Lepisosteus oculatus: one gene and its partners. The protein of the gene in region 3 interacts with the protein of the main gene of each other region in a pairwise test. Links are inferred from orthologs where the notes say so. Each region holds a gene or a part of one and is shown on either strand. Other genes may lie near its edges.

Region 1 (7,445 bases), on a different chromosome or scaffold from region 3:
TTCTGCGAATGGCCCAAAAACAGAGCAGATTCCCTGAGATGAGTTCTCATCCCTACATTTTTTATCCTGTTTCATGAAAAATACATCTCTATAAAATGATCCTGATTCTTTAAGCCCCTGCTGAAGATATTTGGAGAAATTTGAGGGAGATTTAATTTTGGAAGGGTTAGAAGTAACTGGATGCTGTTTTGTAATCCGGCACTTTGTGAATCTTCTAAAAGCCTGTGTATCTCTGGCCCTCAAGGTTTTTCTTTTTTGTTGCTTAAAATGTTTTGTTGTTTTCAATCCAGCTAAAAGCCACTTCAAGTAGACCCACACCTGGTGTACTGTACCCTCGAGAAGACGTGGAGTAATATCTAAACAAAGATAGCGTGCAAAAAATGTCAATGAGCCTCTCTTTCAACTGGGAATAATGTAACAGGACAATTGCTTTTTAAAAGTTTATAAATGAAAAGCAGAAAATCGCTGCCACTGCTGGTTAACCCAGAAAACTGCTAAAACTGAGCCTCGCCTGTAATTCACATTATGGACACTAGATGGTGCTGTTTGCCACACTGACGCTTGACGGCTTGCATACCTTAAATAACACCCGAATAAGGCTCCACAGCCGAAAGGTTGTGTTTCTTTTCCTCTCTTTTCAGCATGGAATAAACCTTTACTCCTTCCTTTGTACCCTAAATAACAGTCTCGCTTGAAGGGACGGTCCAAAGCTCCGCACTTCAGTCAGCATTCATACAGAGGTTCATTTTAGACAGAAATGCTTTCGGTGATGCAGAACCTGTATACAGTCTTGGACAATATGTTCTGTCATATTTCCAAATTAGTTTAAAAAATGTAGTTATAAAAAAAGTCTGTATATACTGTTAGCAGAAACTGTTAACAGTTTTGTCTAAATTAAAGTGAAAATTATGCCTCTCAACTACAGTACACCACAGTGCCAGCTATACATCTCTGAAGACAGAACACAGAAAATGGCACTAACTTCTTTGTACGAAACCGACTGACTCCTAGGACTCCCAGCGAGGACTACATCGCGCGAGCAGAGCTCCGGGATCTGGGGCTCGGGGAGTCGGCTGTCCGAGAGTTTCACTGGGACAGAGAAGCACGAGCATTTCTGTTTTTCTCATATGGATTTTTAAAATAGGTGATCGAAATAACGACAAAAACGCATGTATGCGATGCAGTTAAATCGTGAAGGAAGGCTCACTATGAATACTGCACAGTGTTGGTAGGGGAGCTAAGGGTTAGATCCAACATAACATTTCAGAGAACGTTTTTGTGAGGGACTGGTATGGTATTGGGTGGGGGTCACGGATTTTATATAAAAGGAAGACGAGAGCTGCTTTGCTGCTGGACGAGGCTTATTAACTGAGTCACACGCCGCTACGTCAACGGGAATGAAGACGTCACTGCGAAGTGATGACGCAATAAAGGCTCGTGGAAACGCAGTGGCATCCCTCAGTTCAAAGGTCATGACACATTCCACCTGAATTCCTCCTCTCGAACTGCTTCCGGCGATCATAAATAATCCATCTGACCCCACCTTTTCCGAGTCTCAATCGTAGATTCTTTATTCAAGATGCAAGCCGTGTATCTCCCATGTCTCCTGCATGAAGATGAAGTCTAAAATCACAAGAAAAAAAAACCCAAAATTCACTTGGAGAAGATCCACATCTGTGTGGAACTGCGTGTCGTTTTTATGTGCTTCTGGCACCCGGTAAACAGACTCACCTTCTTTCACAAAAGCATCCAAAAAGGCTTTGCTAGAACACCGGTACAATTCAATCACCTGCGAGAAATGAAGTTTATTTAAAGCGCGAGATGTTGACATAGCAGACTTGTATTTTAGTTTCGGTTTGTAAAAAAAACAAACAAAAATATTTTCACTGAAAAATGTAAGCGCCAAGCTTTTAACTCGGCAGGACTCTGCTGGGATCAGCAACTCTGCGGAAGCCTAATTTGTATTTCAATGAAAACACCTTTATCTAAATGAAACAAGTATTTGCACCGTGTAAGGGGAGGGGCGCCTTCTGAGCCACACACAGTACGCAGTGTGGGGACAGGCCGACGGAACCGAATCGAGCCTTGGATCGCTAAGGTGGGTTCTGGTGAAAACTACATCACACGAGTGGGGGATTATTTTCGCTAATTTGGGGCTTTTTTACACGTCCACTGCCTCGGTGGGCCACTCGTTCACGGGACCGCAGCTGCGCTTCACGCCGGCCTCGGCAGTCTCCGTGACTCGAGCAGGTGCCCACTGTGGGCTCCATTCCCCGTGAGTTCGGGGTCTGGCCTGAAGCGGGGTGCTGCTTAGCTTTAAACGGCAACTATTTTATCTTCCATTTATACTAACCTTTGTAGTATATTTCCCCGAGGCCTCTTGCGGTAACAGTACTGTACTCACAATCAGATTTTGATGATGGATCTATTCTCTCAGTTTTCTGGACTGAAAAATTAAGTTTAAGATTAAAATAATGTTTTGAACTACATCGGTTTGTTCTGCTTTTTTGTAAGCTTCTCCGCTTGACTGGGTTAGACTCTCCCCCCTCACACAGTACCGGAAGAATATTTACTGGTATATCTCTAATTTGCTGGTCTACCGTCTGCATCATTTTTCGTTGTCCTCTGTACAACTTGACATTTAAGATGCGGTACTTTTTACAAATTCCACCTTATGACAGCAGTTGTACACTGCGGGAGTGCATTTCTGCCATCAAGGAAAACGTGTTATGTGCTATCACGTTATCAGGAGAAAATGATCTCGTTATTACGAGATGGCACATTCTCTAGTAATTACGAGATAGCAAATCATCTCCTAATTATAAAATAGCAAGGATCATTTCAGTGGATGGACAACCCGTGACGTTGTGTAATGACAGCACCTGAGGCTACTGGGAGCCCAGCTGGACTCTGGGCTCAGACGGGATCCAGCGCTGCAGAATGAGCAGTTTAGTCTGAATGAAATGTTACCACTTGTACCTAATGCGCACTCATTCATAACCATGAGGATACCCGCACTTGCTCTTAAACAAGAATGATTGATTCCTCATTCTTTATTCACGGCTTAAAACTGAAAGTCAACCAACGCCGATTCGAGACGATGACTGCGTGACCGTCGCGCTACGACGTGATTATCACATGAAGTAATTACGAGATACTGTGCTCATAGCGTGACCGTGTGTGGGACAGTGCTGAGACGCGCCCTTTTCTGCAGGTCTTCGCTGGAAACGAGAGGGTGTGAAGGTGTACTCAACTGGATTGTCTGGGACTATAAAGGATTTCCAAAATTACTTGGACAAACCAGCCGCGCCATACGGGGAAGGGTGAGGGTGCCCGGGTTCAGTCCTAAGGGATGATTCGCCGGAAGCGATTTCAAGACGGGGCTGTTTCTAAGAATACGATCTGAAATGTGGGACGTTGGCTGCTGTTGCTAACCTGCTATGGGATATTCTGACATCGTTTCAGTACTAAAACAGTTATCTCATCGGGGTTGTTTCAGAATTCCTTGTCACCTCTGACAGCCTGTGTCCGATTTAATCCTGAAGCAGGACCCGGGACAAGAGCAGGAAGATCGAAGTGCAAGTATTTGTTCTCGGGCTCCAGGTAATTCCGCGTGAAACGCTGCACCAGGGGTCAGCGCAGCTGCCTGGCGGTGCTGGGGCCCGGGTTCAATTCCTGGGGTGCTGTCTGCGCGGAGTTTGCATGCTCTCCCCGTGTTCGTGTGAGCTCCGTTCCGGCTTCCTGCCACAGCCCCCCCAAAAAAACATACTACACTTGATCCCAGCCAAAAGACCGAGAAGCAGACATGCTGTTAACCGCCTTCTGAGAAAAACCGGCCCCGGTGTGTGTGTGTGTGTTTATATCAGTGTGTGCCCTGCGCTGAGCTGGCGTCCCGTCCAGCGCGTAGCCCGGCCTGTGGCCCGTTGCGCTCGCCGGGACGGGCTCCGGCTCCCCCGGCGGTCCCCTCCTGCAGGAGACCGGACGGGGCGGCCTGACGCTCCGGTTCAAAGCGGCGGCGTCACGTGACGGGGGAGCCCCGAGCGCCTCCCCGTCTTTGTTGACAGTCTCGCGACAGCTGCAGTCCAATATGGCTAACGCGCAGGGGCTGCTTGCGAGAAAGTGAAATACACGCCTTTGGTTATTTATAGTTTCTTCGCCCACCTTTTTTTTTTTTTTGGAGTGTGTGTAACCGAAACAGCGCCACAAGACTGGTCGGAACCCATTAACCCCCTCCCCTCCCTCCCTCTCCTGGTTTTAACCGGCGAATGGTGAGTGAAAGAGATTAAAAACTGTCCGAGAGTCGTGCGTTTGCAGAAAGAAGTGTTTTCTTTCGGCGTGCTGCGAACCCGACACTTTGTGCATCGTTTCTCCCTCGTTCTTACTTTCTTTCCAGTATTGAGAGCCATTCAGTGCCAACAGCTGGAATATCTGACGGGTGTTTGCAGGCGCCTGTCTCGTAGGCAGCTCCGGTGTGTAATGCTAATGAGGGGGGATTCGCAGTCGTACTCGAGAATAAAAGACAGCAAAACAGAATCAGTCCATTTCGTTGTTGAAAGAACCTCCCTCGGACCCTGCATGTTCTGAAACGCAGCGTGACGGAGATGCAAGGATTTTCCGTTTGTACTAAGTGATAGGACGCACCGCTGAGTAGTCGTTGAACGGAGATGTCCTGCTGTGTTTCTGTTTACCTCTGAGCAAGTTCTTGTAACTTCTGCACGCGCGAGACGGAGCTCCACTTTCAGCCCTTGTGCTGAAATGAAGTTTTCCTCCGAACACGCAGGCTGTGTTCGCCCTTCCCAGGAAAACGGCAGCGACGTGCTTTTCATTCTGTCAGGTCCCCCCCGCATACTGGGCGACCTCAAGGGTTTATCGAGCGGGAAGGAAGAAATAAAACATCGCTTTTGTGACTTTAAAAACCGATCGACGAGATTAAGAGAATCTTGCAGGTTTTGAAACCACCAGTGGTTTCTGGTAGGAAAATGTTTATATTCCAGTCCCCTCGGTGTTTAAGTGTCTTTTCGTGTTGAGTCACTAAATGAGCTAATACTGAGAATATACCTCGGCACGAATGACAGCTTTCTCCCTGTCTTTTTTTTTCTTTTTGTGATGGAATCGCAAAACAAGTTCTTGTTGTGTTTCAGACAGCCTCTCCCGCAAAAGCTGTTACCCGCCCACTTCCTGTAGGTCCTGCTCATCATGAGCTCAGGCCCTCTCTCGGCAGCGACATGTCTGAGCCGCCCCTGGGACAGCTAGCGCCCCCTGGCGCCACGGAAGGTACCACATTTCTGCTCCGCCGCTCTGTCAGAAACGTCTGCTGCATTCCTTCTGGGCTGACCTTTTCCTTGTAGCTTTCATCCAAAACCTGGCTCCCACCCATAGGAGCAGAGTGAGGCATCTGGTTCCAGGGTACAGCTGCAGTGTCCTGCCTGGGATTCAAACCCGGAGCCCTGCAGTTCTCAGTGCAGAGCCCCAAACTCTATATTATTATTAATAATGTTGCAGTGCTTGGATAATTTGCATTTCTGTTTTTAGGAGCAGATTTTGGGAAACAGCGTACAGCACGCCTGACTTCTTCAGGTTATTTCTGTAGATTATTCAGTGCATCAGTGCTTTACAAGGTTGTGCTGTTGGAGCCCCTTGTTAGTGAGACATCTGTCCGGACGCTTGTTGTTTGCAGGCTTCGGGGGGGTTTGACGTAGACTTTGTTGGCCTTGTAGGAAAAACTGTGCCTTGTTCGTTCTTCGGCTGCAAGCAAGTCTTTTCTGACATGCAGAAGCTGATGAGCCACACGAGAAGCCACTACATCCCAACCCAGTCACTGGAAGGTAGGGATTAATGTCCTTCAGTCCCACATTCCTTAGGGGAATGATCTTTTTTTGTTAGTTTTTGCTTCTAGCTGTGTGTAGGGATCTGACCCACACTGATAGAAAGATGAGCCCCAGTGCTGCAGTACCCTGCTAGTGTGCGGTGGTCTGTGGTTGTGTGGGCTGTTCTGATGCCCTGTGCTCATGTTGGGGGGTGCAGATTGGCAACTGCTCTGCTAAATAAGTTCAGATTCACCCAGCTGCGTGTGCACACCGCAGTCGAGAGGTTACTGATATGAGACTTTGCGCCTCTCGAGTTTTTGTGGAGAATGTAGGATGTAGGAAATTGAGCAGATCGCTCCAGCCAGATCTCCCTCCTAGCATTCCAGACCTGCATGGAGAGTTTATTTCATTGGGTAAGTGGCACTGGCATCACCTCCCACCATCCATGCTGATTAATCTCAGATAACCCTGAAGTCGCTTTCTGCTCGTACTTTCTGCACGAAGCACATGAACTCTGCCTCCAAAATGATGTTGAAGTGGTCTTTTATCTTATGCTCAATCAAGCCCCCCAATTAATCAGTAAAAATTAAGGGAAAGTGGTTTACAGGCAACTGTAATCAGTGTGTAGAAGTGAAGGGGTGATGTGTAATTTTATGGGTTTAGTGTAATTGAGGTGAAGTCCGTTTACAGGGCTCTGGTGTGGCCGTGGGGATTCCTGTAAGAGTGGTGTGAACTGAATTTGCATGACTAGATGCCTGTTATGTTATATTTATCTGTAATGTCTGCTTGTACTCTTTGTCTGCAAGTTTGTGTGTGTGTGTGCTTCGATGCATCAGTCAGACAATGGAGTATCGTATCGTGAGAGAGCGCGAGTCTGACAGAGTCCTCTCCTCAGGCAAACAGTTCCACTGCTCCACGCTGGGCTGCACAGGCACGTTTCCCTCCATGCAGAAGCTGATGGACCACACGCGCCACCACTACAAGCCCAACCGCTACTTCCTGTGAGTCAGGCTGCTGCTCACTGCTGCGCTGCAGAGTGGGGAAACTCGTTCTGCTCGGTCAGCTTGATCTGCTGCAGGTCTCAGTCCGGTTTGGCTTGCATAACGCCACGCCTTCTGGAGAAGCCACCTGACGGGAAAAAACGTGGCCGTTTTGTGCTGGGGAAGCTTTATTTTCTATCCTGGCTGTAAGGGTGGCTTCTCAGAGCGCTTCTGTACCTGCTCAGACAGTCCGTGAATACATCTGCATGCTCGAAGAGTTCTCGTGTCGGTGTGAGCGTGGTGCTGAGTGTGTGTGACATCCGTGACCAGGATGTTCATCGCTGTTCCTCTCGAGCTGGAACTTAAAAGCCGGGCGGGGGAGCGCAGGGGAGGTTTGTGCTGTAACGTTAGCCGGCGCCGAGTGTTGCGCGGCTCTGTGCCGTGGTTGTGCTTGCTGTGGGGTGCCTGGGCGTGCAGAGCGGGCTCGCTGGCTTGGCTGAAGCCCAGGGCCGTCCGTCCTCTTCCAGGTGTGAGAGCTGCAGGAGCAGGCTGCGGACCCACCACGCCTTCTTCAAGCACCTGCACATCTGCCAGAAGGCGGCCAAGAGCCGGGCGCCTCCCAAGCCCGAGAAGGCTGAGCCCGCGGCCCCCGCGGCCT
Region 2 (7,655 bases), on a different chromosome or scaffold from region 3:
GTTCCTGGTGAGCCAAAGTGCTTAATTAGGAGGAGTTAGCTTTAGCTTTCTAACGCCCTGCTCATTGATCATGACAGGCTGCACAACCAGGCTTCCAAATCTGCAAGCTGAGTCCGAGACAGGGTGAAGCCCCCATCTAGAGGTCTGTGGGTGGACAGCAGGACCCAGCCTCAATGGGTTGGCAATCCATCCCAAGATGTGCAAACACATTTGCAATTAACCTAGGCAGCACGTCCTTAAATTGTGGGAGGAAACCTCAATGTTACTATAGAGTGACCATGCAAATACCACACACAATGCACCCCACGCCAGAATGGAACACAGGAGTTACAGAGCAGGAGCTAAGGCAAAAATGCTACCTGCCATGCCTCCATGCACAGGGGAACCTAACTGTGTCCAGTCAAATGTAGCCACGTCCAAGTCACGTGCTCCAAGGACTGACCTGCTGTAACGTACAGTATGTGATCCTTTTGACTGACGTGCCACCTTAGTTGAACTGATCTCTGCTTCGAAAGTGAGAAAGCTTCCAACACGTTTCATCAGTATTTCATTAGAACTAATTTAATTTGTAATTAAATTAACGGGGCGCTTGTTGAAAGACCTGGACTGGAACGGAGCAGAACAGAGGCAGTTGATTTACTAGCCTTTTCAATCCATTGTTTTCCATTCTGGGCATGTTGGCCCAGCCAGCTCTTAAGACAGCACAGCTGTTCAATAAGAAATGTGATTTCAGTAATCTAATAAATCAGATGATCGACCTAAAGACCCGCCCTGCTACAAATTCAATTAGAAATTCCGGTAATTGGGTGCCAGGGAGTAATGTAAAGCTATGTTTCATATTGAATCTTCGGTTTCAAGGGTCTCCAGCCCTAGTCCTGAACTCCAAAACTCTGCTTTTCCTTATACTCCAGGTCTCAATTTCTTGATTGAACCAATTATTGGCTTAATTAGTTCAATTAAGTTCAGTCTTAATTAATTCCTTCTGACTGAAGGTGCCTATAGAAGGAGAAAGGGGGCAGATACAAAATACCGCACATCAGTGAGTAACTACTGTATCTGCAAGACCACCCATCTCTTTAGAGACTGTGTCATTAAATTAAATCTGTGCCATTGTGATTTACAGCCCCTCTGTGATCCTGCTGTGATCTGTCTCTCTCTGCCCACTGGCCCCACAGCGTAATTCTGCTGTCTCCTCCCAGCTCATTAGCACAAGATCGATGTCGTAGCTCACAAGCACACTGCAGTAAACCAGTCCCCACACTCTCCACTGTGCAGCAATCTGCAAGGCAGAAGATGAGAGGGACTGGGGTTGGCTGGATTCCAGATTTTGATGGCCAGAGGACAATCACTCAAGAAAAAAAAAGCAGATTTAAGGGAACAGTACCTACCACTCATGGGATCTACACTTTCTGTGATTTTCATTACACTATCTTGCTACAGGAGCACTGCATGATTCTATCTCAACAAAGACCAACTTTTCCATGCTGACAGGCTGGGTAACAGTTCCAGCAAACTTAGCTTTGGAAATAAATTACACCAGAGGAAATGACTAGGGGAAGCCTGCTGTATTGCTAGTTCCTATACCTAGTTTAAAATTTTAAGATACTGTATACTCGCCAACAACTGGATTACAACAAGCAATGATGACAATTCACAGAAAGTTTTTTTCACTCAGTGATGATTAATGGGTTCTAAAAGTCCAGTCCAGAACATATTGAGTTATGTTATCACTTTCATGGCTAAGAATGATTTACAAATTTTAAATTCACAGTAACATTTAAAGTTTAAATTTAAGTTTAGTGTCTATAAGTAAACTGGGGCCACTCGCTCACACACATTCACTCAGATCTTAAATCAATTATTTTCCCTAGGCTTTACTAAATAGGAGAGAGAGGTACACACAGAGCAGCTGTCAAAGCGCTGAGCTTGAAGATGAGAGATGGAATTAAATCAGTTGAAAGAAAGATACCGAGAGGGAACTGTGTGGGGGCAGTGGAAGATCACTGAAACAGGCTTCCTACAAGAGACCAGCAAGAGCTAATCGACAGATAACACCACAGCGGCTTCTCTGCCTTGCTAATTGGTCCTTGATTTCTAAAGATGCTAACTGAGCCTAACTAATGTAATCCTGCAGTCATGAGATCGCTGATCAAACCCTGACTGAGCAGAATGACTCTCAGAGATATTGTCCTTGCTGAAAAGCAACATTTTCTCATTGATAGTGTAGCATCACATAAAACCGTATTAATTAAAATGTTTCTGCTTCTGTTTTCTTTAACTCTATAGGCCCTATTTAAATGTCCCCTGTTTTTACTCATTGTGACCCATCATGCTTTGCAAACAGTTATCAAATTTGATTCTACAGCCTAATGTTTCACATTTTTCACACATGCCAGTAATATCCCTCTCAGAAAATAACAAGGCCATAATTTTTTTTCTTTTAACGCACACTTGTAAAATACAATGTTAGAGATTAAGATTGTCTGATAGTCAGAAAGGAGATCTTAAACTGTGGGCAAATGGCCCTCTCCAGAATAAATGAATCACATGGTCATTTGTGGACTACAGGGAAAAACAGGCTCCTAGTGTGTTCATCTGGTAGAATAACACAATGCTCCTTCCCTCTGCATCTGAGGTGGCAAGAGGAACAACAGTGTTTCTGTACTGTACAAAAATCCTATTGGAAAGCCTGTTAGACCCACCAAACAACCAGGGCTTATCATAGAGGAATTATACATATACTATATATTAAAATATAATGACGGTTTCCAATGTACAGCAGTTTTATCCTTTATAGATTTTACCAGATGTACAGTACTCCAGTGAAGTGCACATATGTTTGCATGTATTTTTGATCTAAGATAATTCTAAATGCCTATGCAAATGTCCTGCTAATAAGGCAAGAAGCCAAAGTGATCCAGCACTTGCTACTGGTTCAAACAGAAGAGCTTTGAGTTTGTAAAACCTGAAATGGTTCAAGCGCCTGTGCAAAGAGAGATATTTTCCTCCCTGCCAAGGAGTTTAAAAACAGAATATTTCTGGGTAGGAATGAGGAAATAAGAGAAATTCAAAACTGCACTTTCTGCAATATATTGATCTTGAAATATTGTGTTCGTGCAGGCGCCAGCTAAAACATTTAACTAAGAACATTGCAATCACCGGACTGGTTGAAAAGATCCGGACTGACAGAGACAACTGGAAGATAAGCACAAAGTTCCTTCAAATCCCAAAGACCCACGATGGAAAGGTAACGTTTACCATCTCCTGGTGCTGGAAATGACACTTTAAAATTGCACACAAGCTATAAATATGACATAAGCCAGGAGCTATGCATTTATCCCCAGAGGTAGTCTGCAAACTATTAGGAGCAGTTTGCTAATCATTAGTGGACCTCAGTGATAAATGCCTTCTTTTAATAACCTCTGTTGATAGCTACACAATCGTCGGCACTGTCAATTACAAATGCTGATCTGAAGGGTGGCTGAGATGATCTAAGACTCCAGGGAGCAGAGGACTGTGCCTGAAAACGAATTGCACAGCTACAGCGGCTACTCAGTTACACTCCACCCCCCAATTTGACTGCGACACGTTCCCACCCAGACTGTAGACTCCCAGGTTTGAGCATCTAGCCTCCTGCGTCCGCCCTGAGACTGCTCGGTCTACACATCACCGCTACCTGCTGCTGTACTCTGCAGAGTGCAGCACAAGCCATCTGTTTAAGTACTTGGCTGTAGCCAAGACACTGCATCGTCTGCCGTAGTTACTATTACAATAGTGAGACACTGAAGTGAATGGGCCCCAGATTCTCAATTTCACATTTCACACACTGACCTGAGTCTCCTGCTCCTGCAGTCTATACCTAAATACTGTTATTGTTATTACAGGACAATGATACCTGCCCTTACTGTTCTACAATCTATAAATGGAGTGTTATCTAGAACAGGCTTGGGCTGTAAATGCTGTTATATAAGTACAATATCCCGAGCTATGATAAAGACAGGTTCATGTTTTAGAAATTTCCATTCAGTGTCTTAATGTCTTTGTTCCTGCGGCTTAAAAACTGGCACGCGCCTCCAGAGCCATTTCACTTTGCTTAGTGACAACTTCGTAGCGCTTGCAATCCCAGAGTGACAGCTCGGGACATGGCCCTAATTTACATGACTGCACAGTCGTGACATGATTTCAAGAAAGCAATACAGCTGAAATGCATGAATGTGGCTTCGCACGAGCCTCACACTCATCCTCTCATGCTTGTGAGACTCCCAAAGAGCCAAAGTAAAAGTCGGATCACAGGAGAAGACTTGAATTCAAATTCCCTTGCAGGAAGGAAGGAAAAAAAGCCCCTTCCTTTTCTCCTTTGCTCTCCCCCCTCCTTCTAATCCTCCCTCCTCTCCAGGCAGAAACAGAGTCCTGCCTCTCTCTCTCTCTCTCCATCTGCAAGCTAAGCTTTGGCTGAGAGCTCAGCTATTGATCGCCGCTGTCAGTGGAAAAGTGCTTGCGTCAGAGCCCTGCCAGGGGTATAAAGGCAGCACCGCCGCGGTAACAGCACTGAGTGCACACGGCAACCGAACTCCCCTGCCCTCCCGCCGCCATGACTTCCGTTGGCTACGACCCCTACTTCACCTCCTACAAGCGCCGATATGTGGAGAGCAGCCCCAGGGTGGTGCACATCTCCGGGGTGCGCAGCGCAGGATACGGGGGCGCCCGCTCGGTCTACTCCAGCCACTCGGCTCCGCTGTCCACCTCGGTGGGCACAGCCCGCCACCGCCCCTATGGCCTCTCCGCCTCCTCCGCCTCCTCTCTCCTCATGGCGGCGGACTTCGACCTGAGCCAGGCCACGCAGGTGGGGAGCGAGTTCAAGACCGTCCGCACCCAGGAGAAAGCCCAGCTGCAGGAGCTGAACGACCGCTTCGCCAGCTTCATCGAGCGCGTGCACGAGCTGGAGCAGCAGAACAAGGTGCTGGAGGCTGAGCTGCTGGTGCTCCGGCAGAAGCACGTGGAGCCCTCCCGGCTCCAGGCGCTGTACGAGCACGAGATCCGGGAGCTGCGGGCCGCCGTGGAAGAGGCGCGGGGCGAGAAGCAGGCGGCGCAGAACGAGCGCGACGGCCTGGAGGATGCCCTGCGGGGCCTGCAGAGCCGCTACGAGGAGGAAGTGCTGAGCCGCGAGGAAGCGGAGGGACGGCTGATGGAGACCCGCAAGGTGGCAGACGAGGCTGCCCTCGGCCGAGCCGAGCTGGAGAAGCGGGCCGAGACGCTGCTGGACGAGATCGCCTTCCTGAAGCGGGTGCACGAGGAGGAGATCGCCGAGCTGCAGGCGCAGGTGCAGTACGCCCAGATCTCCGTGGAGATGGAGGTGGCCAAGCCCGACCTGTCTGCTGCCCTCCGCGACATCCGCTCCCAGTACGAGAAGCTGGCCGCACGCAACATGCAGGCCGCCGAGGACTGGTTCAAGAGCAAGTTCACCGTGCTGACCGAGACGGCGGCCCGCAACACCGACGCTGTGCGCAACGCCAAGGACGAGGTGGGCGAATACCGGCGCCAGCTCAAGGCTCGCAGCCTGGAGATCGAGGCGTGCCGGGGCATGAACGAGGCCCTGGAGAAACAGCTGCAGGATCTGGAGGAGAAGCAGAATGCTGACATCGCCGCTCTTCAGGTCAGTGTTTGTAGTGCAAGTGGAGGGTATAACTTCCATATACAACTTTTACTGTCATTTCTTCCATGGTTAAGTTGTATATACTTTATATATCCACATAATCTCTCCAATTTCTAAAACAGATCAGTAATCTGATCTTTGGGATCAGGCTAGAATTCTATCTAGATTTTTTTATCTTAGCCTTTGCCTGCCTTTAATGCAAGTTTTTGTAACCAATACGATAGGCACAAAAACAGAGGAAGATTGCATTGTATTTGACCGTTTCTCTGTCTGGTCAGCCAGGGGAATGAAACTTCATGGCATCTACTCAATGGAGAGTTAGTAACTGCAGTATCCGTCTCTCTACTGTCGTGATCAATAAGAGTTAAAACCGACTATATCCCAAACTGAAATGGCAGATGTCAGAGAAACAGAACAGCTGCAGAGAAAGGGTTAATTGGGATTGCTCCACACTTTATGTTTCTTGTTCTTTGTTACTGAGAAGAAAAGTGGACCAGGGCCAGAGACACATTAGCGAGACCAGGAAAAGAAAAATCTCTCAGCCGTTCCAGAGAGGTACTAGAGATGTCTACAGACTTTTGCTGAGACACTCAGTTCTGTATTTAGTTTCACATTAAATCCATCTGACGGTTTATGGTTCATCTGCGATAGATGGACTAGAAAATCTCCAAACATCTAGAGAGTTCTTTGAGAAGTTTGTACTGCACATTGCACTTCTGCAGAAGCAGTAGCAGGCTGTCTTCATACTGCCCAGAGTCAATTGTACAGCCCTCTGATAAAAAGATCACTCACAGCACACGGTGCTATTGTTGATGACAGCTGAAAAAAGAGAGAGAGCAGAGACTTTTTTGCTTACCGGAGATGTGCGGTGCTGTGAGAGGAGCTTCCCTTATAATCTTAATAATATTTTTTTTATTCAGCACACGATTGCAGTAGCTGAACAGGAGCGGAGCTTCTTCTTTTCGTGAGACAGGTTTGAGTGCTTTCAATTGTGCCTAGCACATTGTCGAGTGAGCTTTGCATGTCTTCCACCAGGAGAATGCTGCAGGCAGGGACAGCTTCCTCTGCGGTGTTGCGGACGCCCGGGGCTCACAGCACACTAAAATGAATTGGTTACTGGAGAGCAAGCCTGCAGAGTGACAGGTCTTCTGCAGTCGAAATACAAAGCCATTGACAAAACACAGGAAAAGGAAAAAGTGGAGGAGTTGAGAGCAAAGCCTGTCCATCCTTAATGCTGTATGTACAGGACACTAAAGAACTAATGATAGTTACTGAGCAGATGCTCTAATTCCAATTAACTTGCACAGGATAGGATGTGATAAAAACATCAACTACCTGCTGAGTGACACTCTCTAGGCAATCTCTTTTACATACCACCCCAGTGGTGGACTCTGGCAGGCTTGGAGCTTAAGCCATGACCTTCCTGGTTCTGATACAGCCCTATACCTCCACCACTGGCCCCTACTGCCAATTCTGCAAATCCTGTACAGGGAGAAAGCGACACAGGAAAAAATCAAAATGCACACTCTTGGCACTTTTCATGAGCGCTGCTGGCATTTCCCAGAACACCATCCATCAGTGTCTCTTTCCCTAGGGGGATCTGCTCTGCTAATCCTTGAGGTGGCAGGATCCCAAAGCTCCTCATGGCTTGCCTGCAGTATGGCGATCTGTATTCTTTCCTGTTATTATTATGGTCCATTTGAATGCTGCCAACAAATGTGATTTAAAGCCGAGAAAATGCCAGCACAGCGATTGAACAGTCAGTCTGAAAATGGATGCAGTCCCCAATTTGAGATCTGTCCTGGCAGTTGTAGCATTTTATTCGTTTTCAACGGGCATTGCATACTAACTCTTTAGTGATATTAGCGCTACACAGAAATTCCTAATGCCCTCTCCTCCTTCACTAAACAAAAGATCCCAGAATTCAACTGATCTACAGACTAGGGCTTGTGTCAGGCTTTGCTCAGTGGATTTCAGCTTTGAAATGACATCAGTTCTTTCT
Region 3 (8,295 bases):
AAGCACAGCTCAGCACAGGCATTGAACTGGGCTGAGTGATGAAAAGAGGGTCAGTGTGGTAACGTATCACCTCGAGAGACATTCATTATTCTTGGGTTTCAAGGTCAGCAGTTTCCGTGTAAGAACCTGGGAACACCGTTTTCTCACAGTCTGGTCTGGGCACATTTCTGAACACGGCTGCGTGGCCCGAACTGCCCCAGGGGCGAGCCGAGAGAAATTAGACTCTCTGAAACTACAGCAATCATCCCGTCCATCCATTACCGGAGAGTTGTGATCCCCGGTGAGGGTGGCGACGATCCGGAGTCACTCCCAGAAGCACGCGGAGGGAGGCGGGAGCAGGCCCTGGAGCAGGCCCTGTTATCCCAGCCGGCACACAGAACCTGTCCCAGGACCAGGAGCGGGGGGACAGCAGCGCTATCGGCCGCCAACGGCAAATTATTGTTCTACATAAATGAGTAGGAATATTTAAAAACACGCATTCCAATTTTCAGTGCATCGATTTTTTTTTTTTTTAGAAAAACAACATGATTAACATGCTGCTGTTTCTCTTTGGGTTAAATTGCCCTTGGAGGGGTGTTTTTTTTCCCGTGATTAGGCCCTCAGCTCCCTGCCAGTTCCCCCGGGACAGCGGTGATTGCAAGATAAGACTGAAAGGCGAACAATTGGCGGAAGCCGGGAGCTGAGGGGAATGAGCTTCAAGACGTTTTATTTTAGAAGCCGGGCTGCGAAATGCCATTTAGAGGCTCAAACAATTCTGCTCGCACAGCTTGAAGCCCTTCCTTTAATCCGACCACGCAGCTCACATGCACAAACGGAGCGTAGCAGGGGCAGGACAGCCTGGCTGCAGGGAGGCCAGCAGACGCTGCCTCCCTGTCCGCGGGATATTCTTTAGTAGGGAGCAAGGGGAGAAGTGAGCAGCTCTTGAAGGGCCATTACTTTGCTATTGTGCTTAAATGTCCAGAAGCTGTTTCGTAAACGAGCAGCGATAGGTTTTTACTTTTCACTAAATAATGTCAAGCTTCTCCAAGAGCAATAATAAGCTAAATGTTTACTCTCGAACAAAGCTTGTTTCACCAGTTTGCAAAGATTTTGGCATGCCTGCTGAATGTATGTCTTATACACGTTTCGGCCTTTGTTTAGAACACAAAACTAATTCCTTAGCGAAACACCCAGATTCCTGAGCCCTTCTTGGGTTGACAGATTTTGACAGTGTAATTCTTTTCCCATTAAAGAAAACAAACCTACACAGTATAAGAAAAATTGAGGAAATTTAGTAATTCATTCCATGTGATGCATACTACCAGCATATATATTCTTCTGTTTCCCACAAAGCTGAGACTTATTAAAAATAGTCTCCTTCAAGCATTTTTGTAGAATCAAAGCCAGCCTTTCCACTTCTGTCATAAATGAACGGTGCTAAAATTGTAGCAGAATGATGATCTCATTGGTTTACGGGCTTTTCAGTGTAACCTGTTAGAAACCCACTAACACACAACCTCGGCCGTCTGCAATAGTTTTAGTACCTACGGCAAACGAGCACAACTAAACCGAGAGTAATGCCCAAAAAGACAAACTTGTGTTTTTCATTTCTGATGTCGTTTTAGTAGTCCCGAGAATCAGTGAGTGGAAGTTATTAACTGAAGTTCGGGAAGGACAACAACGACAAGTCAACCTCACTGAGCTGCACCTGATCACCATCATCACAGAAACTAGCTACATGAACGGAGCTCAGACACCCCATTCATCTCCAGCATCCCTCCTCAACCCATCTCCATCCCTCAGCTGCCCCTGGTCACTCCTCTCTGAATGGGGCCCAAGTTCTCCGTCCTGCACCCCAGCAACTTCATCCAGACATTCCCAGTGCACCTGCAGTGGCTCCTGCATGTCCCCTAGTGAGATCAGAGTGCAGGCGGGATGGGTGCCGGTCTGCTCCACCGGGGTGACTCACCTGGCTGAGCGAACGGCAGGCTGCCCACGAGGGGTACCCTGACAGGACCCCCGCTCCCTCTTCTCCCCGCGAGGGACGAGCCAGGAGCTGCTGCAAGGAAGGGTGAGGGTGCGAGAGGGGAGGTGAGAATGGAGCTCGCAGGTGGGAGGAGCGGGGTATTTACTGTACATGTGGGCAGCCGGAAACAGGCAAGACCGGGGCTTGGCCTCCTCCTGAGCGTTGGTTCAAGACTACATCTGGTGTCTGAAGCTCTAGCGTGCAGCTAAGGAAAGGTTCAGTTTCATATCAGGAGGGGAGGTGGAGGGGGGGGGCTTCTTTTCTTCTGATACCTGCGAAGCTCAAAAGCCGAGATGTGCCACCGAGCACCAGCACAGATGGCACAGGCACAGGCACAGGCCTCAGGGACGATCACAGTGCCCCAGCGTCCAGCGGGATTGGGTCTGCCCTGATCTTTGCCCCCCCTGCCCCCCCACCCCCGCCAATGTGAAAGTCACACCCTTCCCGCGCGAAGCCATACATTCACGTGCTGTAGTTCGTGTTGAAGTTATAACAGCAAGCAAATATCTCTCAGCTGGAAACAAGGTCTGGACTCTTTCAATGACAATCTGTACGTGCACTTAACTATACCGTTTATATATTGTAACGCAACGGGGGCTCTGGCGGGCGCCCTTGCCGCATTTAGTCAGCCCCCGACGGTGGAACCCAGGACTCCCGCGTCTCTCTGCAGTGACCCAGCCCGGTGAGCCAAAGAGAGATCTCTCCACAGCCCAGTAGCTGTAGTCCTGCTATCGCAGGGAAGGGCGGCGACGTCACCGCTCTGGTACGCCGGCTCTTACACAGTGCCTGTCGGCCGTAAGCGTTACAATATTTAACCCTACAATACAGGTACAACGGTACTCACACAGGGCCAGAGCCCAGATTGACCCAAGAAATTACATTTGCAGGCTGAGGGCGGAGGAGAACATCAAGATTCCTGTCTCAGTTCACGTTGTATACCTCATCTGTCAGCACCGGTTCCCAACACTTCTCAGACATGAAACGTATTTACACGGCTTCGCATCGAAACAGCGATACTTAATTTGTCTCCTTTATGTTCTCCCACAGGCGTACCGGATTTTATACAAATGGTTTTGGGAGGCATGCGACGCCAGCATCATTTCCTATGGTGTAAAAAAAAACAACACAACTGGCCAAATGAATGACCTCTGATCACGATAAACAGACACGATAAATAGGCTGGGCCTCTGCCAAAAATATTCTAACAATTTCTTGCTCAACCAAAGAAAAGCAGCCAGAGCTCAGTGGAAGAGCTGACAGTACAGCGTTTTCATTTGTAGGCGGCAGAGGAGAACAATGGGCCTCTTCAGCGCAGATGAGATGAATGGAGTTCGGCGTGCGCCAAACGTCAGCAGAAACATTTTCCATTTTCCAGCCTGTGTGCCAGTTATCACCCATTAAAAAAGGAAACAAGGCACTACTGGGAGCCTCTTAGAGTAGAAGGGTGTGGTCTGAAATTCAGAACAGGGTGTCTGCTGTCACGGAGTTAGCTGAGTCTGACAAGTTATAACACTGCGGAGTTCTAATTCTATTCTAATATGATCTAATAATAATTCTTTACATATATATATAGCGCTTTTCCTTACACCCTGCTCAAAGCGCTTTACAGGTCATGGGGATCCCCACCAGTGTGCAGCCCCACCTGGATGATGCTCCAGTCTGCTCCCCACACACCAGCTCTCAGTGGGGAGGAGCGCAGAGCGATGAGATCAATTCATCATTCCACAACCACTCCACACAGGAGCCTTGATGTGAAACTGTGAACATGCACAATCACAGATGTCAACTCATAAGTAATCTTAGCTCATTGGCTAACAATGATTCTGCTCGTCCAGTGGCTATTCAGGGGCGGTGTGGTGGCTCTGTGACTGTGCGCCTCTGGCTGGAAGGTTGCTGGTTCAAATCCCATGGCTGGCAGAGAGATCTTACTCTGTTGGGCCCCTGAGCAAGGCCCTGAACCCCAGCTGCTCCAGGGGCACCGTATAAATGGCTGACCCTGCGCTCTGACCCCCAGCTTCTTTCTGTCTGTGTGTCTCATGGAGCGCAAGCTGGGGTATGTGAAAAGACAAATCCCTAAGTTGTATATGGCCAATAAAGTGATCTGATCAACTGATGAGCAGCAGGTCAAAGCCTCTTTGCTCAGCAGTGCCTTGTGAACAACAGACCAGTAGCTCCTACAGTGACAGATGCTTTACACACGCCAGGGAGAATTATAGTCATGTTTTCAACGGCGTTTTTATCGATCAATTCACGCGACTCGAAACACGGATTGGAATGAAAAGACTTTGATGTGAGTTCTTGCGGAGTTTTTTTTTGATTTAGCCAGAACAGATAACACGGGATCGAGCTCCCCCTAGCGGCGACTTGGATACAGACGGTTTCTCCGGGATAATATACTGACAACAGCAATAATAATAATAATAATAATAATAATACAAGTAACAGGTTTATTTCATGCTGAAAAAGAGAAGAAAGAACACACAACGTTTCAGCCGTGGAGCCTTCTTCAGGTGTGAATAAACCTGTTACTTGTTCCTCTACAGCCTACGGATGCTGACGCAGCTCCCCACCTGAAATAATAATAACACGTTTATAACCTTGGATAATTTCTAACATATAATTTTAAAATTATAATGAAGATATAAGCTTTTCACAATCAGTGGAATTTCGGACCAATATTCATGGAAGCCGGTTTTTTTAGCATTTAAACTTTAAAGGAAAGCGAGGATTAACTGCTTTGAGACTCCCGGGGAAACGGAACTCCAGGCGCGCGCGCGCGCGCGCGGCCCGGCGCGAGGCGCCGACAGGCTCGAGGCCCAGCTCGCGAGCTCGCGGCCGTGGTCGAGACGCCGAAAATATCAACACATTAAAACTGCGCGTCTTTTTTTTAGAGGGGTTTTAATTATTACATTTCAGCCAAGCAAACCTTTTGAAAAGCTTTACAGCTGCGCCTTTTCTTATAAACTCATCATATTTCTTTTAGCTGTCACCGACATGGACGACTTCATCTCGAAGGTTAAAGGTGAGGAATATTTTCGGTCTGAATTTAATTTAAACTCATGAGGGGAAAAAAATATGACTACATTTATATTCAAAATGTGTGGAAAACGTGTTTGGGGACGACATCACGTTTCACTGACGAGGACGCGATGTGATTTGTTTGTGATTGTATTCCAAATGGGCTTAATGACATCATTTCTTTTTCTCAAATGTGGGAGTTCAATTTTAACTTGTAGTCCATTTGTCCCGTAAAAACAAAACATCATAGTACAGGACATGTATTATTTTATGGTCGCTGGTTATTTTATGGTATGTCGCCATGAAGAAGATTAGAGAAGGAAAACTGACTCCAGAAACTCGTGGTGGGTCTTAAAAAGCGAACTTTTTAAATGACCGAATATTATAAAAAAGGGTACCATCAGGTTCCTTACTATTCATGTCTGTGAATTCATGTAATTCACGCGTAGACCTCACCGAGGAGCTGGTGCAGAAGCAGACGCCTGGCAGCGCGGAGCGGCTCATCGACAGACTGTTCGGCGAAGCGGCTCGTCTGGACGGCGAGCTGGCGGGGGAGGTGCCCCAGCCGCAGGTGAGGCTGAAGGCCTTATAGCGCCCTCTAGTGGAGAGACGGGGGTGTGGCGCTGGAGTGATATGCGCCCTCTAGTGGGAGAGACGGGGGTGTGGCGCTGGAGTGGTAGCGCCCTCTAGTGGAGAGACGGGGGTGGCGCTGGAGTGGTAGCGCCCTCTAGTGGAGAGACGGGGGTGGCGCTGGAATGGTAGCGCCCTGCAGTGGGAGAGACGGGGGTGGCGCTGGAATGGTAGCGCCCTGCAGTGGGAGAGACGGGGGTGTGGCGCTGGAATGGTAGCGCCCTCTAGTGGAGAGACGGGGGTGTGGCGCTGGAATGGTAGCGCCCTGCAGTGGGAGAGACGGGGGGTGGCGCTGGAATGGTAGCGCCCTGCAGTGGGAGAGACGGGGGTGGCGCTGGAATGGTAGCGCCCTGCAGTGGGAGAGACGGGGGTGTGGCGCTGGAGTGGTAGCGCCCTGCAGTGGGAGAGACGGGGGTGGCGCTGGAATGGTAGCGCCCTGCAGTGGGAGAGACGGGGGTGTGGCGCTGGAGTGGTAGCGCCCTCTAGTGGAGAGACGGGGGTGGCGCTGGAATGGTAGCGCCCTGCAGTGGGAGAGACGGGGGTGGCGCTGGAATGGTAGCGCCCTGCAGTGGAGAGACGGGGGTGTGGCGCTGGAATGGTAGCGCCCTGCAGTGGGAGAGACGGGGGGTGGCGCTGGAATGGTAGCGCCCTGCAGTGGAGAGACGGGGGTGTGGCGCTGGAATGGTAGCGCCCTGCAGTGGAGAGACGGGGGGTGGCGCTGGAATGGTAGCGCCCTGCAGTGGAGAGACGGGGGTGTGGTGCTGGAATGGTAGCGCCCTGCAGTGGGAGAGACGGGGGGGTGGCGCTGGAATGGTAGCGCCCTGCAGTGGGAGAGATGGGGGGTGGCGCTGGAATGGTAGCGCCCTGCAGTGGAGAGACGGGGGTGTGGCGCTGGAATGGTAGCGCCCTGCAGTGGGAGAGACGGGGGGGTGGCGCTGGAATGGTAGCGCCCTGCAGTGGGAGAGATGGGGGTGTGGTGCTGGAATGGTAGCGCCCTGCAGTGGAGAGACGGGGGTGTGGCGCTGGAGTGGTAGCGCCCTCTAGTGGAGAGACGGGGGTGGCGCTGGAATGGTAGCGCCCTGCAGTGGGAGAGACGGGGGAGGCGCTGGAATGGTAGAGCCCTCTAGTGGGAGAGATGGAGGTGTGGGGTTGGAGTGGTAGCGCCATTGTTTTTTGTGTGCAATGTATCTGATAGGAACAATCCAGTAAATGACATCAGTTGTACATCTTAAAAACCTCTTTACTCTCCATCAGTCTTATTTATAATAAAAAAACACTCAGAGTAACAGCCCTTTTAAAGTATTAATTCTAATACTGCCTGTTAAAGAAAAGGGAAGTGTTTTAAAAGTATTCAAAACAATGTGCTCAAAAACCAGGATGCAGGCACACAGTGTGTACAGTATTTTTAATTTCTCAGGCTGAAGAACATGCCATTAAGCTGTGGAACTGGGCTGTTACGAAACATGTGGGCTCTGCAATCACTGAGGAGCAAAGAGCAAAAGGTAACAAACTCATTCTCTCCAGATGAAATTTTAAATCAGCGTTATAAAAAACTACCAATGTACTCAGATTTGTGTTTCAATGTTTTATTGAGACCACAAATTAGCTGAATTTGCCAATCTTTTTCATAGCTGAATAGCCAGCATTGCTGTCTCAGTAATGTACTGTTGATGCATTGGTTCTAGGCTCCAGTGTAATTTACTCTCCTAATCTGTTTAATGCTTTAACGTTGCACATGTGGTCCTTTTCTGTTTAGATTAATTTAAAGCTTATTCTTTTCTTTAAAGTAATATTCAGGGTATCATGTTTTTAGACACATTACTGTTTTTCATTCACTGCTGTCTTTGGGTCCTGCTCTTTGTACAACATACGCTGCAGTACGTCATGTGGCTTGCAGACTGGCCTACGCGTATGAAACTAAAGACTTGTCAGAGGGAGCGATTCGCAGACAAATCCTGGTGAGTCCTTCCTCTTACCTGCAGACCTGTCGCATGCCAGACCTTGCTGGTCTGTCTAGTCTGTATTAGCATTGCTAGAACATACTATTCCTCCTGGGAGGAGCTAAGGTTGCTGCTGGAGGAGGTGTAAGCAGAAACAGTAGGGGGCGCTCATCCTGCAATCTGTGTGGGTCATGATGCCCTCGTATAGTAATGAGGACACTATACTGTAAAACGCCACTGTCCTTTGGATGAGATATAAAACCGAAGACCCAACTCTCTGTGGTCAGTAAAAATCAGAGGGCACACTTCGAAAAGACCCCGTTTCCTGGCCAAATTTCCCCCTGGCCTTTATCACGGCCTATAACCAACCATGGCCTCCTAATAATCCCCACCTCTGAACTGGCTTCATCACTCTGCTCTCCTCCCCACTGAGAGCTGGTGTCACTTCTGTCAGTGTCAGATGTCACATCATCCAGGTGGGGCTGCACACTGGTGATGGTGGAGGGGAGTCCCCATTACCTATAGACTGCTCTGAGTGGAGTGTCTAGAAAAGTGCTATATAAATGTAAGGAGTTACGGTAATTCTCTAGACAATTAAAAATAAGAAAAGAACCATTCAAAACATTTTTTAGTGAGTATATACTGTAGTTTATTTACTGTAGTTTATTCTCTGCTGCAGATGGCCATTAAAACTGGTAGAAC
Region 4 (7,780 bases), on a different chromosome or scaffold from region 3:
ACACTTCAAGGCTGGTATCAGAACGTAGTGGTAAAAATGGTGAAAAAGCTGCGGACACAGTATTTCACAATATTTCTCATTAACATCCATTAAAAAAACACAGGGCACCCAAGATCCTTCTGAGGTACGTATATAAAATTACCTCTTTTACCTCAGCCTGCTTTCTGCTGTCACGGCATATACCCCTCTATTTCAGTTTCCATAGAAACAAGTGCTGCATTCCCAGCTTGCAAAGATTAATTGATTCATAATTATCAATATGGCACAGCATATTTTGTTTGCATCTCAAATTGTCCATGAAATCATAGTAAAGATTTGAAGAACCAGCTATGTATTTCCAGATGTTCAGCATTGAAAACAAACAATGCGGCCTTAAGTACAACTACTGTAAATGTACAGTAAATGTTGATGTGAAAATAACAATACTGCAGTTCTGCAAGCAGAATTTATGACATTTCTATGAAAATGAAACACCTGTCTCATAGACTCTTTTACTCCTGCATTGTGTTAGAAACCCCTAACACAAATGACAACCAGCAAACAGATACGGAGCAGCCCTGCAGGGCCTGTTCTTCCACTCAGCCTTGCTGTGTCACTACAGCAGCTCAGCTCCTTGAAATCATACTGTAGTTCAAGGGGCTGCAGCGATCATTCGTGAAAAGGTCTGTGCCGATTCCGACAGGCGCTCGCTACACACAGCGCGAGTCTCAGATGATGGAAGTCGATGATGAGGAGCCTCTTTATTCTAAATCAACGGAACGGGAGTACGGCGAGTCGAACAAACACCAAAATGATCAGTTAAAAAAAAAATCATTGTGAGTGCATTCTTCAGACCAAGTTTCAGATCTGTCTCGGGTTAGGCTCTGTGTCCCCCCTTTCACAGGGGAACACCAGGAACCCAGCCCTTCACTGAGGAGGGATTGAATAGCTGAGCCTCTTGAACGCATTCTCAACTTAACGCACGGGACCTTTGACTGAAGGAACTGAACCTTTTCAGTCCTGAACAGGGGCGACGACAAAGAGACCCGATGCAAGTGTCCAGGTTGTATTAAAGCCTCAAAGACACTGACGAAGTCAACCCGTTGGAATTCCCCCGACTGAACACTGATCCACTGACCAGAAGCCACAAGCGGAGGCTACGAGGAAGTGCATTTAAAAATGAAGTCAGGGGGACAGGAAGGGATATGGGAGCTGGGAACCCCTGTTGCTGAAGCCGATAACCTGGCATTTTGGTAGAAAAGCTGGATGACATCCTGGGACCAATTAACCACTAACTGCCTAACAGGCTAGATGGGCTGAACCATTCTTATGTAATGTTCTCCAACCCTAGCAAAAACAAATAACTAAAATGAAGATCAAGTGAATGTATGTATATACAGTATATAAAAGGACATACTGCAACTTTCAAAAATGGCTGTGGTTGGAAATCCCTGATGCTCTTCTGCATCTCCATTCATGAGAAATGAAATCTGAGGAATGAGAGTTGACCGGCTGGACATGTTACAGTTTTTCTCTACCTCAAAACCAGTGTCGAGCAACTCCTACAAATTAAAGCTATACGATCTACCATGTAGACTCATGTTCCCTAATGCTCTGGTTTGTTTAAGTCTGTTCTGTAGAAAACTGGTCTTCCTTTCCCAGGGTATCACAGAGCTGTCTAGGGGAGGCAGCCTTACAGACCTCCATAATCAGCCATCATTCCCTCATCAGCCTCATCTGTCTGACAGGGCCTTTCCCCCTGGACTGGAAGACTGGCATGGTCAATCTGGCTCACGTGTGATTCATGCAGTTCGTGACGGCAGGACACGAAAACTCCTGCAGCCTGACACCGACATGGGCTCTAAAATCTCTGCACCGTGCCATCCCCTCTAAATCAATCTCGCGGTGAACAGGACATGTCATGTAAAAGATGCTCCGAGCAATGTCAATCATTACTCGTGCAAAAAGCCACTTACTGGCATTGGGAAAAATGCATTTTCTCAGTGTTTTACAAGGGCTATCGAACAACCTCAAAAGCAAAAGTGTTTATTTTTCATTGTCATTTGCTGGTAAGACCCTTTGAGGGCTTTTTTACTTCCTGAAATCAGTTCATGTCAGACAAACGGATCCAAAAATCCTCTAAAGTGGAAAAGTACAGGAACAGAACTCTCTCCCTGTTGGTACTTTCTTGAAGGTCTGAGAAGAAATCATTTCAGTTGTGCACAATAGCTATCACATTGGCTGTTTCTCAGAGTCACCAGTTCTTAGCACCCAAGCAAGGCATTGTAAGGTTTTGCACCTGTTTCAACATGTACTGGCTTCCTTCCACTAATCTCACTCAGAAAGACGATTATTCCTGGTTGAAGAGTCGTGGTCAAGCTGATCCTGTGCTTTCTAAGGGAAAATGATTTCATGGAGATGGCATCTAATGGTAACTATTTTACATAGTTTTCACCCATCAGACAATTAATTATGCTTTACAAACAGCCGCAAGTACTACCAGGAATTGGTGTGTAGCAGTACACTTACACTTATACCAGTAATTGGTATGTTAGTGTTATGTCTTTCATCATTTCAGTCTCTGTACACAGATGGAAAACTTTCCAAGTAAAGCTTCTCCTCTGGATTATATTTAAGGAGACTTTCCAGCACAGCTATAATTGGGAAGTTTAAGTTCTGAATTCATACAGTACTTTAATTTCATATGGTGCTTTAATTATGGAAAACCTTTTATTTAGCTTGGATGGCAATCGTTATTATAGACCATGTTAAACATTTGGCTTCAGTTCTATTTAAGTACCTCCAGCATTTGTTGCCTTTATGTGACGTGGTGATTGGTCTTAATGCTTTTGGCAGAAGGCATTTTGCAAACTTGAGCTTCTGAAACTTACAACCCATGGAACATTAGCTGGATATAAACAGATGCAAACAATCCCCGACAGCTTGAGACATCAAAACAAAAAAAAGGTTTTCCTGTTGCATCCTGGAAAATCTTTTCCGGGATTAATCTGATTTAAAGGAGTAAATGCAGGCTACACATGGCATCCTTACACTATTATGGAACATAAGAATGCTGAATTCATTGCATTAGAGGATACGGGCAGATCTGGAATGGAAAGTAAAGAGCTCCATAGTTCACAAACTAACTTCGGGAAGCTCTGTTGGCTGACTGGTATAGTTCAGAGGTCACGGGTAGACTGCTTTTTGGCAGCAGTACCTGACTAATAACAGCGAGGAAGGAAATATTCATCTAGTCTAGGTGTCACCTGTATTCTGCCTCTCCGTATTGACTTATTTCCATCACAGTTACATGCTTGGCCAAAGGTTAGGCTTTTAAGTCACACGTATAAATGTGCTAAGGTGCCAAATCTCACATGATTTGTGGGGTCAAAAAACTTCCAACCTAAATTTGACAGAGCTGGGCCAGCCCAATAAGTGTAAATTGAGTGTAAGACCTTCATCACACTAATCAGACAATGGCTCGATGTTCCCCAGGGATCTATATATATATAGGACTATTCGCACATGTGTTTCATATGTAAAATATAACTTAATCGGGATGAATAATTTAATTACATAGAGTTGACACACAAAAAAAATCTATACAGTGCAAAACTCTGCTGTGGCAGCGGATCGGTGTTCTGCCCGGGAGGTTTATCTGCTGTCTGGAAAGCGGCGCTCTGCTTGGAGCCCATGAGAGACCGGGATCAGATCCTGCCAGGAGCGAGAGAGACCGTGCCCTTATCCCCCGCAAAGCGTAAAGACATCCGGCCGTCTCCCACAGGAGGCTTGTGAAAAATGCACACCGCTCAAAACCCGAGAACAAGGACATTACCAAAAAAACAGGCTTTTGTAAAAATAAAAAAATGGTTTTCTAATGTGTGCTAATAAGATCAACATACATTTTTTTTGGTCCGGACAATACTTGTTCAGTTTTACTGAACTGAGTGATAAGAGTCAATCTGATTCCTTGCTGACTGGTGAGGTCTTAAACAAACAAAGGATTCTTCTCACGACTTTGAGCGTTCTGAGGCCCTTCTATAATAGCAAGGCAACAGATGCAGGGTGTGTGGGCAGATGAGGCTATTGGCAGTGGGATTCACACAGGCGCCGAGATACGGCTGGTTCGTCAACACTCTTCAGATGGAGATCACCCTGAGCAAAGACAGCAGACTGCGCTGTAGATAGTCATCTCTCAGGGTGGTGCAAAGGTCCAGAAAACGTAAGGTGCAAGGTGCCTTGCACAATGAGACGAACCCTCACCGTCACCCACTGGCAGGTGAATGCCCCGTCGAGGAGACAGGAAGAGGCAGGGGTTGGGACTACTAATCAAAGTTTACTACTGTACATGCCAGACACGGAACAGTGGGGCTTTCACAACATCCCCGAATCGCACGATGGGAAAATAAGTCGTTGTGTACAGCTTTCCTCCTGCTATTCCCACGGACTACACAAACCCACCCCTGCCGAAATCAAAAGACGCTTTGCGCAGGCGTGCGGTTCCGAGTCCGGTGCGGAAATAATCACAGGCGAAGTCACGTGTAGATCTGTGCACACAGCGGGCTGTCTACGTCCTGCAGAAATCAAGTATTTACCTGAAACTGCTGGGTAATGAGTTAGTTGACTGGACTTTGCACCACGGAACCGGAGTCCGCCTGTTATTGTTTCTGCTGTGCATTTAACCCGGAACTTTTTTTTTATATAAAGTAAAATTCCGTCCTCGCTTCCCTTCATTTGGGTCAAGTGTCTGCAAAAAAATAATGCCCCCGTTAAAGTTCTGTGCCAACCTCTCCTGGCTGTTCACGGAGCTGCCGGAGTTCGCCCAGCGGGCTCAAGCGGCGGCGGCAGCCGGGTTCCGGGCGGTGGAGGCGGCGTGGCTGTACGACGCGGACCCGCTGGATCTCCAGAAAGCCATTACACAGGCCGGGGTGGACGTTGTGCTCATAAACACACCGCCTGGTAAGAAATAAAGAGAGGTCTTGCACTGTAGACGGGACATGCGCGTGTTATTACGCCGCCGAGGGAGAAAAAAACCGGCGCCTGTAGGACAGCGCAATAAGTCAACTTCACTGTGAAGTTATGCACTTCGCTAATGTTGGCTTTCTAACGGAATCGAGTACATTAATGTTAAGAAAGTTAAATACTAGAAAATGGTACGAAAGATACATTTTTAGTGATTGCACTTCTTGCAGCAACAGTTTGCCTTACACACTGTGGGCTTGCTTGTCCCTATGAACGCAGCCTTCACATTATTTGAAAGTTTGCAAGACGGTGTCTCAGAGAGCAAACCCGTGAGCTGTCCATACCTTCATGTTTTTAATTGGCTTAAGGCGCGTCATTAGCAGCAGTTTGCGGGTTAGATTTAAAGGCACGTATCAGCTGGGACTCGTCACCGCCATTAATATGCCAACGAGTTGTCTCATTGGCGTGGTCCTTGATTCACAACTCTGCGTGGATGTCTAGTCCTCGGCGATCTTGCTGATCCTTGCAGTTACAGTAAGGTAGAAAGATCCATTTGAATGGGGCCTCAGGATACGCTGTCACCTGGAACTGCTAGTTTACTTAGCATCCTTAGGCTGTGCTGCACGTCGTTTGAAGGGCACTCTCTGGAAGCTCAACGACGCGCTGTGCAATGATGATCGTGTGCAAATGAAATCACTCTGCCCTGGCCTGATGGATCACTGGTACTCCTGCTACACGTCTCTTTGAATGCCATTCACCGCAGCCCACAGAGTACCCACAGTCCGCCGGTGTGCTGTTGCAGGAGATGTCGGGAGGGGAGACCTCGGACTGGGGGCAGTGCCTGGCCGGGAGGAGGATTTCAGGGCAGGCCTGGACCTGGCTGTGCGGTATGCCAGAGCCCTGGACTGCGGCAGGTACGCGTGCCTCTGCAGGCCAGCGCTCAGAGCCGGTGGCGCACGTGGTGTCGTGAGAGGCAATGCGCGGGGAGACGTGCCTCTACTCAGGAAGCACAGCGCCACCGTCACGCTGGGCTCCCCCCTCGAACGCTGGATACTCAACGTCGGCCTGCTTTCCCGTGTTCCGCGGAAGTTAACCCGGGTGTCCCATCCCGTATTCTCCCAGACCAAAATCGGATTCGGTCGTCTCGCGGTACGGCAGGGGGTGTCCAGTCCCGGTCCTGGAGGGTCGGTGTGCGTCATTCCAGCTCGGCACTGAACGAGCGAAACCATCTCGTTGTACAGCTTCGGCTGGGCCCATCGCACAGCTCGCCCCCAGGTGTTCGGGTGCTGCCGCTGTAGGACCGCCTGTAGGCGTGTCCCAGAGCCACAGTGCAGCCCCTGGAAGCCACTGCTGCAGAGCTGGCGTCTAGAGCACTGTGTCGGGCCCGGACACTGCCAGCCCTTTTTGTACTTCAATGACAGGCGCAGGCGGGACTGAAAAGCAGTGCCCTCCTTAGTGAGCGGGGGAGTTCCCAGTGTTGGGGGCAGACGTGTGTAATGAATCACCTGCTGCATTAATTAGCGGAGGATTAGAAGCAGCCGGCTATGAGCAGGAATGATGAGACCCTGAGAAAACGGGGTAATAATCCGGGGGGCTACAAGAACTGTCAAGACCCGTGGCCATCGGCGGGCACAGCAGATGCAGAGAGTTGGTATCGCTGTTACTGCTGATTTCGCGGACTGGTTCAGGGCGAACCTGGGCTCGCCAGGGCCGGTGTTACGTCTTAATCCCTGGGTGGCCTCTCCGGCTCCACTGTCCGTTTTCCCAGGATTCACCTGATGGCCGGGAGAGTGCCCGCAGGGCAGGATCGAGCAGCTGCAGCTGGGGAGATGGAGGCCACCTTCATTGCCAACCTGAGATACGCCGCGGATGTCCTGTCGAAGGTCACACCCGATCGCTGAGCTCAAAGCCACGGGGGGGGGGGCACAGAAATGTGAAATTGCTGCATTTCCCCCCCTGTAGATGTCAGTCGGTGAGGCTGCCGTTTCTGCGTAGTGATGATAGTCGATGGCGTGCGGTGCTTGTGCTTCAGGACGCTGTCACAGGCCCGCCCGTGCTCAGCGAGGCAGGAACTGGGGGCCGACGGGGCCCCCCGAGGGAGGACCGGGGGGGAACATCGGGCAGGTCTGTCTGCGATGCCATGTGATTGTCTGGTTTTCCCCTTGCAGGAAGGAATTCTTGGGCTGGTGGAGCCGATCAACACCAGGATAACGGATCCCCGCTATTTCTTGAACTCGCCGCACCAGGGTAAGCGGACAGTGCTGCACGTATTGTTAGGCATGGAAGAGGAGTTTGTGGAGATTGATAGAGGTCAGTGCGGCCCATTTAGGTAAAGATACGTTTTAAATGTGGGTATAAAACTGCATTAGTGGGATTATTCCCAGTTTGGGGCTATTCAGAATGAAGGCTGTCACCCGATGGCACTATTGTATGAAGATGCTGCCTGATCCTTGGACCAAGAAACTACTCACTCCAAATGGACTGGAATACCTGAAGAGTCTCCTCTCATTTGTACAGTAACTGTTCTTATATACCTTCACAGCCAAAATGTTGTTCTTCCCTCCGCTTGTCAGCGTTCTGCGTGTTTCGACACTGACGCGGGTCCCCACTCTAAAAAACTCTTTGTTCTTTCCTAGCTGCTGCTATTTTGCAAAAAGTTGGCCGTTCAAACATAAAGCTGCAGATGGTGAGCTAGGAAGTTTTTCTTGTGGTTTCAGTTCCTGAAATGACCATTAAAATATCCAAGGGTACAGTTTATAATGTGTGTGTATTTTGCCTGGTAACTCTAATTGGGGGCTCTTTTAAGGTGGCTGAATCAAATACAAGTTTTAATTTTACT

The links.
Region 1: the proteins of tex11 (region 3) and znf414 interact in binary tests that used the Homo sapiens proteins (3 or more experiments, as listed by UniProt). The two-hybrid records come from large-scale screens. The link is inferred for Lepisosteus oculatus from reciprocal best matches to the Homo sapiens genes TEX11 and ZNF414.
Region 2: the proteins of tex11 (region 3) and neflb interact in a two-hybrid assay, tested with the Homo sapiens proteins (2 studies listed by BioGRID and IntAct). The two-hybrid records come from large-scale screens. The link is inferred for Lepisosteus oculatus from reciprocal best matches to the Homo sapiens genes TEX11 and NEFL.
Region 4: the proteins of tex11 (region 3) and hyi interact in binary tests that used the Homo sapiens proteins (3 or more experiments, as listed by UniProt). The two-hybrid records come from large-scale screens. The link is inferred for Lepisosteus oculatus from reciprocal best matches to the Homo sapiens genes TEX11 and HYI.

What each region holds. Positions count from the first base shown.
Region 1 is NC_090724.1:1,952,447-1,959,891, reverse strand, and holds the start of znf414 (zinc finger protein 414), read left to right. Parts: upstream 1-4,058; 5' UTR 4,059-4,265; coding exon 4,266-4,268; intron 4,269-5,141; coding exon 5,142-5,274; intron 5,275-5,717; coding exon 5,718-5,825; intron 5,826-6,702; coding exon 6,703-6,808; intron 6,809-7,314; coding exon 7,315-7,445. UniProt on the Homo sapiens protein: May be involved in transcriptional regulation.
Region 2 is NC_090697.1:65,109,330-65,116,984, reverse strand, and holds the start of neflb (neurofilament light polypeptide), read left to right. Parts: upstream 1-4,490; 5' UTR 4,491-4,591; coding exon 4,592-5,653; intron 5,654-7,655. UniProt on the Homo sapiens protein: Neurofilaments usually contain three intermediate filament proteins: NEFL, NEFM, and NEFH which are involved in the maintenance of neuronal caliber.
Region 3 is NC_090703.1:50,026,129-50,034,423, reverse strand, and holds the start of tex11 (testis-expressed protein 11), read left to right. Parts: upstream 1-4,808; 5' UTR 4,809-4,999; coding exon 5,000-5,027; intron 5,028-5,472; coding exon 5,473-5,594; intron 5,595-7,070; coding exon 7,071-7,155; intron 7,156-7,531; coding exon 7,532-7,611; intron 7,612-8,272; coding exon 8,273-8,295. UniProt on the Homo sapiens protein: Regulator of crossing-over during meiosis. Involved in initiation and/or maintenance of chromosome synapsis and formation of crossovers.
Region 4 is NC_090704.1:2,447,443-2,455,222, reverse strand, and holds the start of hyi (putative hydroxypyruvate isomerase), read left to right. Parts: upstream 1-4,346; 5' UTR 4,347-4,739; coding exon 4,740-4,938; intron 4,939-5,704; coding exon 5,705-5,855; intron 5,856-6,709; coding exon 6,710-6,824; intron 6,825-7,109; coding exon 7,110-7,188; intron 7,189-7,577; coding exon 7,578-7,627; intron 7,628-7,780. UniProt on the Homo sapiens protein: Catalyzes the reversible isomerization between hydroxypyruvate and 2-hydroxy-3-oxopropanoate (also termed tartronate semialdehyde).